3 linked regions of the Arabidopsis thaliana genome follow. The protein of the gene in region 1 interacts with the protein of each later gene in a pairwise test. Each region holds a gene or a part of one and is shown on either strand. Other genes may lie near its edges.

What was found.
Region 2: the proteins of SPL (region 1) and TPR2 interact in a two-hybrid assay, tested with the Arabidopsis thaliana proteins (2 studies listed by BioGRID).
Region 3: the proteins of SPL (region 1) and TCP8 interact in a two-hybrid assay, tested with the Arabidopsis thaliana proteins (2 studies listed by BioGRID).

What each region holds. Positions count from the first base shown.
Region 1 is NC_003075.7:13,681,995-13,685,750, reverse strand, and holds SPL (sporocyteless (SPL)), read left to right. Parts: upstream 1-2,156; 5' UTR 2,157-2,291; coding exon 2,292-2,822; intron 2,823-2,921; coding exon 2,922-3,155; intron 3,156-3,244; coding exon 3,245-3,424; 3' UTR 3,425-3,673; downstream 3,674-3,756. UniProt on the Arabidopsis thaliana protein: Transcriptional regulator of sporocyte development. Acts as an adapter-like transcriptional repressor recruiting TPL/TPR corepressors to inhibit TCP transcription factors. Required for nucellus and embryo sac development.
Region 2 is NC_003074.8:5,729,794-5,733,549, forward strand, and holds the start of TPR2 (TOPLESS-related 2), read left to right. Parts: upstream 1-1,725; 5' UTR 1,726-1,915; coding exon 1,916-1,995; intron 1,996-2,080; coding exon 2,081-2,260; intron 2,261-2,339; coding exon 2,340-2,453; intron 2,454-2,541; coding exon 2,542-2,700; intron 2,701-2,783; coding exon 2,784-2,961; intron 2,962-3,050; coding exon 3,051-3,183; intron 3,184-3,319; coding exon 3,320-3,435; intron 3,436-3,559; coding exon 3,560-3,692; intron 3,693-3,756. UniProt on the Arabidopsis thaliana protein: Transcriptional corepressor. Negative regulator of jasmonate responses.
Region 3 is NC_003070.9:21,512,129-21,515,884, reverse strand, and holds TCP8 (TCP family transcription factor), read left to right. Parts: upstream 1-1,695; 5' UTR 1,696-1,999; coding exon 2,000-3,205; 3' UTR 3,206-3,553; downstream 3,554-3,756. UniProt on the Arabidopsis thaliana protein: Can specifically bind site II elements in the promoter region of PP438/PNM1.

The sequences.
Region 1 (3,756 bases):
GCGTGTCATTCTAGGCTTATAGCAACAGTGTAGGTATGTTGCAATGTTGGGTTGGTCATGCCGTTTGGATTTATTTCCAGTGATTAATTCAGATTTTATTTTTCTTCTTAATTATCTACGTATAACAAAATCTCGCTAACCGCAGAGTGAATTTGCATGTCACTCATGAATGTTTTGAGTATAAGAAGTGAGTAATTTGTTTTATAAATATATGAACTTATGAAGATACATATTGAAGTTGTTTTGTTTGGGGGTAAAAAAGGTTATTTGAGTGTTATATGATAACTTTACTCAGAAAACGTACTTAGCAAAGGTAATTCGAAGTACCTTTGGAATCGAGTAAATACTGATAACTAGAAAAAATAAGATACATAATGGAGAAATAATTAAATATATTTGTATTTCTTTTTTGTTTAACAACGTACGTTTTATTATTAGCTAGTATACATTTACAACGGTTACGTAGATCATATAATAGCCATTTAAGATGTACAACATCTCATCTGGTTACTTCATTTATATAAAAAAAAAACGAAATCTCAACACATAGTAATGTATAATTACTTCAGTGGGGCTTCTCTTAAGACTTGTATTGAGAATATCCATATAAAACAAACTTTGTATTAAGATAATTAAAATTTTCTAATAGTAGGTATTGGGCTGAAGCCAAGATTAACATGGAGGCAGCTTTAAAATGTTTCCTTATATGATGCAGCCATCATTTCTACTCTACTCCGTAGCTCCAAACCCTTCTCGTAATTCACGTCTCTCATGCTATTCTTTTTGCTTTCGTCCTCCTCTCATGTGAAGCAATAACTATCTCTCGATTTTTTTTTTCAAATACCGAAAGCTAACTTTTTCAAATAAATGTCAAATATATTAATTTTCGTTTTGTATTTAGTATTTTATTTGTCAGCTAAGTATAGTGAGTTTTTAAGCTTACTCGTCGTATTTATCATATATTCATATACATATCACATTAGTCAAAGTAAATAAAAATTTGTTTTTGAAGAAAAAAAAAATACATATAACTGCGAGTCTGCGACTGTAACTGGACTTGCTTATTTTAGTTGATATGAGCTGAGTAAAATCACGTTGTCCCAGACCTTGCTCGCTACAATCGGCGAATGGTCTAACGTCCCGACACCTGTCCTCGATCCGCGGGTACTATATTCTTTGCAATGTGATGCACGCGCTGTTACTATTGGACAGTGTTTCTCACCTCACGACTGAGCCTATGCGAGTAGCGACAATCTCCGATTTGCTGTCTCCATGGTAGGGATTATCACAATCTCTGATTTTTTTTATCAGGAACAAGTAAATAAATAGCTTTGAGTTTTTGTTTTTTTTCTACATTCTTCGCCCAAAAGATGTAAGAAAATAAAGGATTTGAAACCTTGTTCTGTTGTTACTCCTTTAAATTCTTAAAAACTATAAATCATTATATCTTTGATCTGTTTCACAAACTAATCATATTCGTTGCAAAGTGAGAATTCGTCCCACTTTACTCTTTACACCGATACTAGTATTATAGATGTACAGCATAGTATTCCATATCTAGTTATTTAGTCAAAACTCTATATATTAAGAGGTAGGTTAATTAATTAAGGAGTAATTGAAGATTATAGAAAGAATAAAAAATACCATTTAATGGACAGAACCAAAGATAACTAACTATCATACTATAATGTTGAATTTCTTCCACGATCCAATGCATGGATAACAACATCAATCAAATCATACATTCATGCTATATAACATAGTTTTCAGTTACAAACTCTCTTTTTTATTTATTTCAGTTGTTCCTTTTCATGACCATATTAACATCAAATAATGCATTTTTTTCAACGTCTCTTGACTTACACCCACTAATATTGACAAATTGAACATCTATACGACTATACACACATAAGTTAAAAATGCATGCAAGTGCTAAGGGAATTTATAACATCTAAGGTTAATAAGACTAAGAAAGTATAAAATAAGAATACGTATTATGAATTTATGATATACTTTACTAATCTTTTTGAAAAATACTTTAATTTAATCTACTATAGGGGGTAAAAAGTAAAAAAGAAATAAAGATACGTTTATCCGCATATAGTACCTGGAAATAACAGAAAATAAAAACACAGGTAAGTACTTTGCCTGAGCTAGTATATGAACACTAAAGAGATACACACACACAAAAAGAGAGCAGAAACAAAACACACACACTTAAAGCTTTCGTCTTTACCTCTTCCCTTCTCTCTCTCTATCTAAAAAGAGTTCCGAGAAGAAGATCATCATCAATGGCGACTTCTCTCTTCTTCATGTCAACAGATCAAAACTCCGTCGGAAACCCAAACGATCTTCTGAGAAACACCCGTCTTGTCGTCAACAGCTCCGGCGAGATCCGGACAGAGACACTGAAGAGTCGTGGTCGGAAACCAGGATCGAAGACAGGTCAGCAAAAACAGAAGAAACCAACGTTGAGAGGAATGGGTGTAGCAAAGCTCGAGCGTCAGAGAATCGAAGAAGAAAAGAAGCAACTCGCCGCCGCCACAGTCGGAGACACGTCATCAGTAGCATCGATCTCTAACAACGCTACCCGTTTACCCGTACCGGTAGACCCGGGTGTTGTGCTACAAGGCTTCCCAAGCTCACTCGGGAGCAACAGGATCTATTGTGGTGGAGTCGGGTCGGGTCAGGTTATGATCGACCCGGTTATTTCTCCATGGGGTTTTGTTGAGACCTCCTCCACTACTCATGAGCTCTCTTCAATCTCAAATCCTCAAATGTTTAACGCTTCTTCCAATAATCGCTGTGACACTTGCTTCAAGGTTTGTTTGTTTTTTAATCGTTTTCATCAACATGATTGATATATATATAGTTTTTGCACTTGAAAAAGTTTTGATTTTTATTTATGTAAAAAACTGCAGAAGAAACGTTTGGATGGTGATCAGAATAATGTAGTTCGATCCAACGGTGGTGGATTTTCGAAATACACAATGATTCCTCCTCCGATGAACGGCTACGATCAGTATCTTCTTCAATCAGATCATCATCAGAGGAGCCAAGGTTTCCTTTATGATCATAGAATCGCTAGAGCAGCTTCAGTTTCTGCTTCTAGTACTACTATTAATCCTTATTTCAACGAGGCAACAAATCATACGGTACTAAGTATAGTCCATTTATTAATACTCATATATAGGTATATATGTATATAACTGTTGATCTTATTTGATTTAACTGGTGGGTTTAGGGACCAATGGAGGAATTTGGGAGCTACATGGAAGGAAACCCTAGAAATGGATCAGGAGGTGTGAAGGAGTACGAGTTTTTTCCGGGGAAATATGGTGAAAGAGTTTCAGTGGTGGCTAAAACGTCGTCACTCGTAGGTGATTGCAGTCCTAATACCATTGATTTGTCCTTGAAGCTTTAAATGTTTTATCTTTCTATATTGATTTAAACAAAATCGTCTCTTTAAAGAAAAAACATTTTAAGTAGATGAAAGTAAGAAACAGAAGAAAAAAAAGAGAGAGCCTTTTTTGGTGTATGCATCTGAGAGCTGAGTCGAAAGAAAGATTCAGCTTTTGGATTACCCTTTTGGTTGTTTATTATGAGATTCTAACCTAAACACTCAGACATATATGTTCTGTTCTCTTCCTTAATTGTTGTCATGAAACTTCTCTCTCCCTCTCTCTCTCTAAAGTTGTGTCAGATCTTGGGGCTTGTATCCATTTTGTGTTTCTTTAGTTAGGCAATGATCCTGTC
Region 2 (3,756 bases), on another chromosome or scaffold:
CTTTATATCCATTCCTTTTCATTCCTATTTTATCATTTTTTCTTTTCCTGTTTGTTCTTTTTTAGTCATGTTCTTCTTCATTCCTTGTATTCATTTATAGGTCACCAATCGGACCCGATATGTTGATTTAAAGAGAGTGGACATATCAATTCTGGTAGCTGGTAAAAAGCATCTATTTCCTTTGCTTTCAAGCTCATGTGTTACACAAACATGTTATAAAGTCATTTTTTTGTTTTTCATATGCAAAGAGAACAACAATTGTATCATGGACAATACAGAACTTCTTTATTTTCATCTAAATAGCAATGCTAAAGAGAGCTTCTAAGGAAAAAAGTGTCTAAGATGTATTCGGCTGTTTCAAAAAAATATTGGAAGAGCCAACGAGAGATTACATACTAAGTGAATAATAATGGTCTGACATACAAATTAATGATCAAACCATTATTATGTCAAGAGCGAGGCAACCATATTCGATTAATTAGTTCGCACTGCTCTAAGAGATGCTAACGGGACCCTAGAGAGCACTTCCTCTTCCAAATCTCGGGGAAGATCGGACATCGCCATTGTTGAATCTCTCATCTCCAAGTTAGGTCAAAGCTTCTACAACTCTTTTCGTACCTTCCGGCTATATATGTAACAGCAATTGAAGACACAACTCACTGGGCTAAACCTGGGCTTCAGTTATCAAGTCGGCCTCTTAATGTGGGACCAATACATTTTTTGTATTTGATCGTATAGCAAAAACAAATGATTAGCACCATGTGGAAACATTAGAGAGTTTGTGTAATTAAATTTCAAGTTTCTTTTCTGTCTTGTTATATACATAAAAATGGTTACAGTAACCTTGTTTTTTCTAGTTATCCTCATATGCTCCAAAAACATAGGAGAAAACATAATCATGAACTTTTTGACCAATAGTATTGTTAGGACTTGAATTCTCTTAGATTTGTTAATTGATGATGAATTCTCTTAGATGTTTATAACACTATGAAAATCATTACTTAAAAAAAAAAAAACTAAGATGATCCATCAGTCACACTTTAAATGTTTTTTAAAATATGTTCATATGTTTTGTTTATGGCATTGCGTACATAATTTAATTAGACTAATTATAATATCGATCAAACAAAGAATTATTGGCTGGATTTGGTCGCAGCCATTAGCAGTCGCTCTCAACTAATATTATTACGAGAATCTCTAGCTGAGCAAGTATCTCGTATTTCTCACGCTCTGACGAAAACTTCTACGAGATAGACGCAGATATCGAGACCACGTCATTCCCCCTAACAAGGCAACAACATGTGGCGGACGCCAGTAAAACTCTGCTCAATTCACTTCAATTCCATTTTTCGAATCCGCGTGACGTAACCCACCTAAGGGTTTATAATCCACTACTTTGCACCCCCACCTAAAAATGCATCACAAGCGCGACAAGTGTCAATACAATTCAGATACGGAGAATACTCTGAGATCCCACATCTGCTTTCGGTGGGCTCACCCGCATCAGATAAAAACCCTAAGCTAAGGGATCAGACCAAACAGTTTAACCAAACGAGGTTATCAACTTATACGACAACGAAAGCACTTATCAATGATAAGTTAGTTAACTTATCAAACTACAGTCTGTGTGACAAAACGCATCGAAGAAAGTGGAGAACAAGTCGTACTTTTTTCTTTATCTTTTTCCTTTTTTATTAAATGAAAAAATATAAATAGAAATTTTGTAGCATCTCTGGGGTCAGCTTTTTCTTAATGTTCGCTTTGCGACGCGAGGAAATGCAACCTTGAAACCCTAGAAAACTCATTCTCAACTACGACTAAATCGATTTCGCAAACTTTGACCTACCCTTCTTTCACGATAAACCCAGATCGCTTAAATTCCTTGAATTTCTTCTTCTGAGAGTTTTAGGAAAAAATGTCGTCTTTGAGCAGAGAGTTAGTTTTCTTAATTCTCCAGTTCTTAGATGAGGAGAAGTTCAAGGAATCTGTTCACAAGTAAGTTTGTGCTTTGTCGTTTTTGTGTGCTTGTTTGGTTTCTCTGCGTAATTTTGGGTATAATTTGGAATTGGTTGATGTGTAGGCTAGAGCAAGAATCTGGCTTCTTCTTTAACATTAAGTACTTTGAAGAGAAAGCTCTTGCTGGAGAGTGGGATGAAGTGGAGAAGTATCTTTCTGGTTTCACTAAAGTCGATGATAATCGTTACTCTATGAAAATCTTCTTTGAGATTAGGAAGCAAAAGTATCTCGAAGCTCTAGATCGGTAATGATTTCTCTTCTTGTTTGGTCGGATATTTAGACTAGTGTTGTTGATTTGATACATTTGTGTGTTTTTATTACAGAAATGACAGAGCAAAAGCTGTTGAGATATTAGCCAAAGACTTGAAAGTTTTCGCTACATTTAACGAGGAGCTTTACAAGGAGATTACTCAGCTGCTTACTCTGGAGAATTTTAGGTTTCTTTTTTTTTTTACTTTGCCATTGATATTATTGAAGTTTTGGTAGGTGGTTACGATAATGTTGAAGAGTGTGTTTTTTTCTTAGGGAAAATGAGCAACTGTCGAAATATGGTGATACTAAATCTGCAAGGTCTATAATGTATACTGAGTTGAAGAAATTGATTGAGGCGAATCCTCTGTTTCGAGAGAAGCTAGCCTTCCCCAGTTTCAAAGCTTCTCGCCTGCGAACTTTGATCAATCAAAGGTGAACTAGGAGGAGTCATAATTCTTTCCTTTTTTTATAGAGATTAGTTAAAGTGTATGACAAGTGTGTTTGGGACATTGCAGCTTAAACTGGCAGCATCAGCTATGTAAAAATCCAAGGCCTAATCCTGACATCAAGACATTGTTCTTGGATCACTCTTGCTCACCATCAAACGGTGCTCGTGCACTCACTCCTGTCAATCTTCCAGTTGCTGCTGTTGCAAGACCTTCAAACTTTGTTCCTCTTGGAGTGCATGGTGGAGTAGGATCACTTACTTAACTTCCACCCATTCTATTATATAACTTAATGTTCATATTTTGAGGGTTGATGAAACAACTGTATCTGTGCAGCCCTTTCAATCTAATCCTGCTCCGGCTCCTAATGCCAATGCTTTAGCTGGATGGATGGCAAACCCAAATCCTTCTTCATCAGTTCCATCTGGTGTTGTCGCTGCTTCCCCATTTCCTATGCAGCCAAGTCAAGGTATAATTTATGTCACAACTTACAAGTGTCTGGATATTATGGTATCTTTCGTTTTTTTTTCTTACTTGTGATATTAGAGTTTTTAGGAAATGAATTTTAAGACCTGAAGTTCTATTGCTGTATTTCGTCTCAACAGTTAATGAGCTGAAACACCCTCGGGCACCGTCTAACTCTCTAGGATTAATGGATTATCAAAGTGCTGATCACGAGCAACTCATGAAACGCTTACGGTCTGCACAAACATCCAACGAGGTAATTGCCTTCAGGTTTTCCTTGTTTTTGAAACGCTTAGTGCTTACCTAGCAAACAAAACTCTTGTTGCTTTTGGAATGTGCGCTTTGATGTTGAGTAGATGGCTCTACTTTTCAAATCACAGGTCACATATCCTGCTCATTCTCATCCCCCTGCGTCACTTGATGACCTCCCTAGAAATGTAGTGAGTACAATTCGCCAAGGGTCGGTGGTGATAAGCATGGATTTTCACCCTTCTCATCACACTTTGCTCGCTGGTTAGTCCATTGCTACCATGAAAAGCTTAGTAGAGTTGAGATTTTTATTTGGCTCTTGTTATAA
Region 3 (3,756 bases), on another chromosome or scaffold:
CTTAAGGGCCTGGCGACTCAACAAGATCAGACCCTTATCTACCGCCTCACCACAGACGTTTTTAACTCCCCCGTCGTTTCTTTTTTTTTCTTTTCTTATGGTTGACAAGTTAACTCACCAGTGCACCTGGAAATCCTATATTACTTCCAGGAGATGGCTTGCCTGAGGTGGTTTAGTTCGAAGATCAGACACCTGGACTTCATTTATCTGGTGATTGTTGTAGCGACTTGTGTAATATATGGGACGAATATATTCGAACCCGGACTCATCTCTGGAGTTGTACTATGATACCCACTGTTGTATTTTATGTTACTTGTAAAATGGTGCATTCCCTTCGAGTGAATGCTTCATGTAAAGTTGTTGCCATTTTCTGTAGTACTATCCCCAAGCGTCAAAATATTTGATTGCCTCAGATCTGCACTTAATTTATATGCACATTTACAGCTATTTCATTGCTCTTTGTCAAGCCTCTTGAAGGGCCTATATCAACTCAATTGTTATCAGAAAGTAAACTGGTTAGCATTGTTGTCGTTTGGTTTTAGAGGAAACTGAAACGGCTACATTAGAAATGTTTTTGGTAGGCGTGGGCAAAATACCCGAACCCGAAGAACCGAACCGAACCTGACCCTAAAAACCCGATCTGAATTCAAACCCAAAATTTTAAAATACCTAATCAGATCCTAAACTACAAAACCCGAATCCGATCAAGTTTCTGAACATATCTGAAATATATATACATAAAAATAATTTATTAGTAATAATCATATTTACAACAACTATTAAGTGCATAAAATATTAGATTTTGTATATATTTTGGATATTTTACCTACTTTTCGATAGATTCGGATAGAAAATACTCAAGTTTTTTGGAATTTTTTTTGTGTATTTTCAAGTAATTTAAATATATTTTGATACAAAATTTTGAGTTTTGGATATTCCGGATGAACTCGAATCCAAACCAAAAAAACCCGATCTGAATCTGAAATCTTAAAATAACTGAACCGTAAACCCAAAAAGACCCAAATACCCCAACGCCTTACCATATTAAATTAGGAGGAAACCCGTTCATAAATAATTTTTCGGGTTTGGGCCACAACAGACCGGCCCATTTCAACCGGTTCATAAATTCTAAATACTAGAAAATTCCAAATTAGATAAGTTTTTGTCCATCCTTTCTTTGGGATTCTTGACGAGTAACGTTTGATGTCTTTCTTAATTTGGTTGAATGATCAAATTTGTGATCCAAATTCTTACAAACTGATATGTTAATGAATCTATAACCAAAATAACGTCTAAAACAAAAAGCTGTAACGATTTGAAAGTGCATTTTTTCCCAAAACTATATAACTAATTAAAGAATTTAGTGTCATTTATCTAATGGATATACTTTTAACAAAATCTTATAAAACTAAAAATATTTAAGACAAAAGTGAAATGGAGATACGGAGGTGGATTGTAATGAGCTGTCCCCACCTGCAAAAATACGCACGCTTCACTGTCTGAAAGATGCTTATCTCTCTCTTTCTAACTTTCTTAATCCACAAATCTTTTTTAAACCTTTTTTTATTGGTGCTCTAAAATTGGTAAACAATAATGTTGTGATGAAAATAATGTAATTGAAAAATAACATAACTCATATTTGGGTAGAATTTTGATAAAAAAGACTTAAAATAATTGTGAAAAGTTATTTTTCTCCCCTAATTACTTTTTGATTTATATAATAACTAATCAAAAATCAATAAACGTTTTATTTAATGTTAATGACGGCATATATATTATTTATTTTAATAATAATATCCTCTTGCTGGAAAAGTCATCCACCTGCTTTTACATCATCAAACCTTTTTTTCTCTCATCTCTCTCTCTCTCTTCTCGAGACAAAGAAGAAGACAAGAGTCAAACTTGAAGGCGACAATCGGAGCTTCCATGGCCGTTTCTTCCTCTTTCACCAAACCCTAATTTCAATTTCATCTTCTTTTCCCTTCTTTCTCACCGGAAAATGGATCTCTCCGACATCCGAAACAACAACAACGACACCGCCGCCGTCGCCACCGGAGGAGGAGCAAGACAGCTAGTTGACGCATCTCTCTCAATCGTTCCCAGATCTACACCTCCCGAAGACTCAACACTCGCAACAACCTCATCTACGGCAACGGCGACTACAACGAAGCGGTCGACTAAAGACCGTCACACGAAAGTCGACGGAAGAGGACGTCGGATTCGTATGCCGGCGCTATGTGCAGCTAGAGTTTTTCAGTTAACGAGAGAGTTAGGTCATAAATCCGATGGTGAAACTATTGAATGGCTTCTTCAACAAGCTGAGCCAGCTATTGTTGCTGCTACAGGTACAGGAACTATTCCGGCGAACTTCTCTACTTTAAGTGTTTCGTTACGAAGTAGTGGATCGACTCTCTCTGCTCCGCCGTCGAAATCGGTGCCGCTTTACGGTGCTCTTGGATTGACTCATCATCAGTATGATGAACAAGGAGGCGGCGGTGTGTTTGCTGCTCATACGTCGCCGCTTTTAGGGTTTCATCATCAGCTTCAACACCACCAGAACCAGAATCAGAATCAAGATCCGGTGGAAACTATTCCTGAAGGTGAGAATTTCTCTAGGAAACGGTATAGATCGGTTGATTTGTCTAAAGAAAACGATGATCGGAAACAGAACGAGAATAAATCTTTGAAAGAAAGTGAAACGTCGGGTCCTACGGCGGCGCCGATGTGGGCGGTTGCGCCGCCGAGTAGGTCTGGTGCTGGGAACACTTTTTGGATGCTTCCGGTACCGACAACGGCCGGTAATCAAATGGAGAGTAGTAGCAACAATAACACCGCCGCAGGCCACCGTGCTCCTCCTATGTGGCCATTTGTGAACTCTGCTGGAGGAGGAGCGGGAGGTGGAGGCGGAGCAGCGACTCACTTTATGGCGGGAACGGGGTTTAGTTTTCCGATGGATCAGTACAGAGGAAGTCCACTTCAGTTAGGTTCTTTTTTAGCTCAGCCGCAGCCGACTCAGAACTTAGGACTAAGTATGCCGGACTCGAATCTCGGGATGTTAGCCGCTTTGAACTCGGCTTATTCAAGAGGCGGAAACGCAAACGCGAATGCGGAACAAGCGAACAATGCGGTGGAGCATCAAGAGAAGCAGCAACAGAGTGATCATGATGATGATAGTAGAGAGGAGAACTCAAATAGCTCTGAGTGAGTGATGTAAACTAATCTTGTGAAATCATTGAATGTGGTAAGAAATTGATTTAAAGCGTTTGTAGCGGTTTGGTTGATTGTTTTATTGTGAGATTTTGTGTGTTGTTGTTTAGTAGTGTTTAGACAAGAACAATTTATGTGTGAAGGAATTGTTAGGTTTGGGTCCAAATGGACTCTCATGGGTAGAGAATGTTTTCAATGTATAGAAGGAATGATAGTCTTTTCGATTTTTCAGTTTTCATTGTTGAGTTTCTTATATTTTTGTAGGATAAAATTGCATTCAAACCAAAAGAATAAAAATTGCATAATTAATCGCAATTAATAAGTTCCAGTGAAAGAGTTGGTGACAGATCTCACTTCTTTTCTGTATGCTACTTTTGTTTGATTTCTTTTTCGATCGAGCAAGGTCTTCTGCAACTGTTCTTTTTTCTGGCACAAGGATTTTCAAGGCACTAGTATGTATATAATATAAGACACACTGTTCTTTACTTGGAAAAAATTGAGTTTGGATACTTACATGATAGATATTCTAATAACATGCCTAGATGGTTT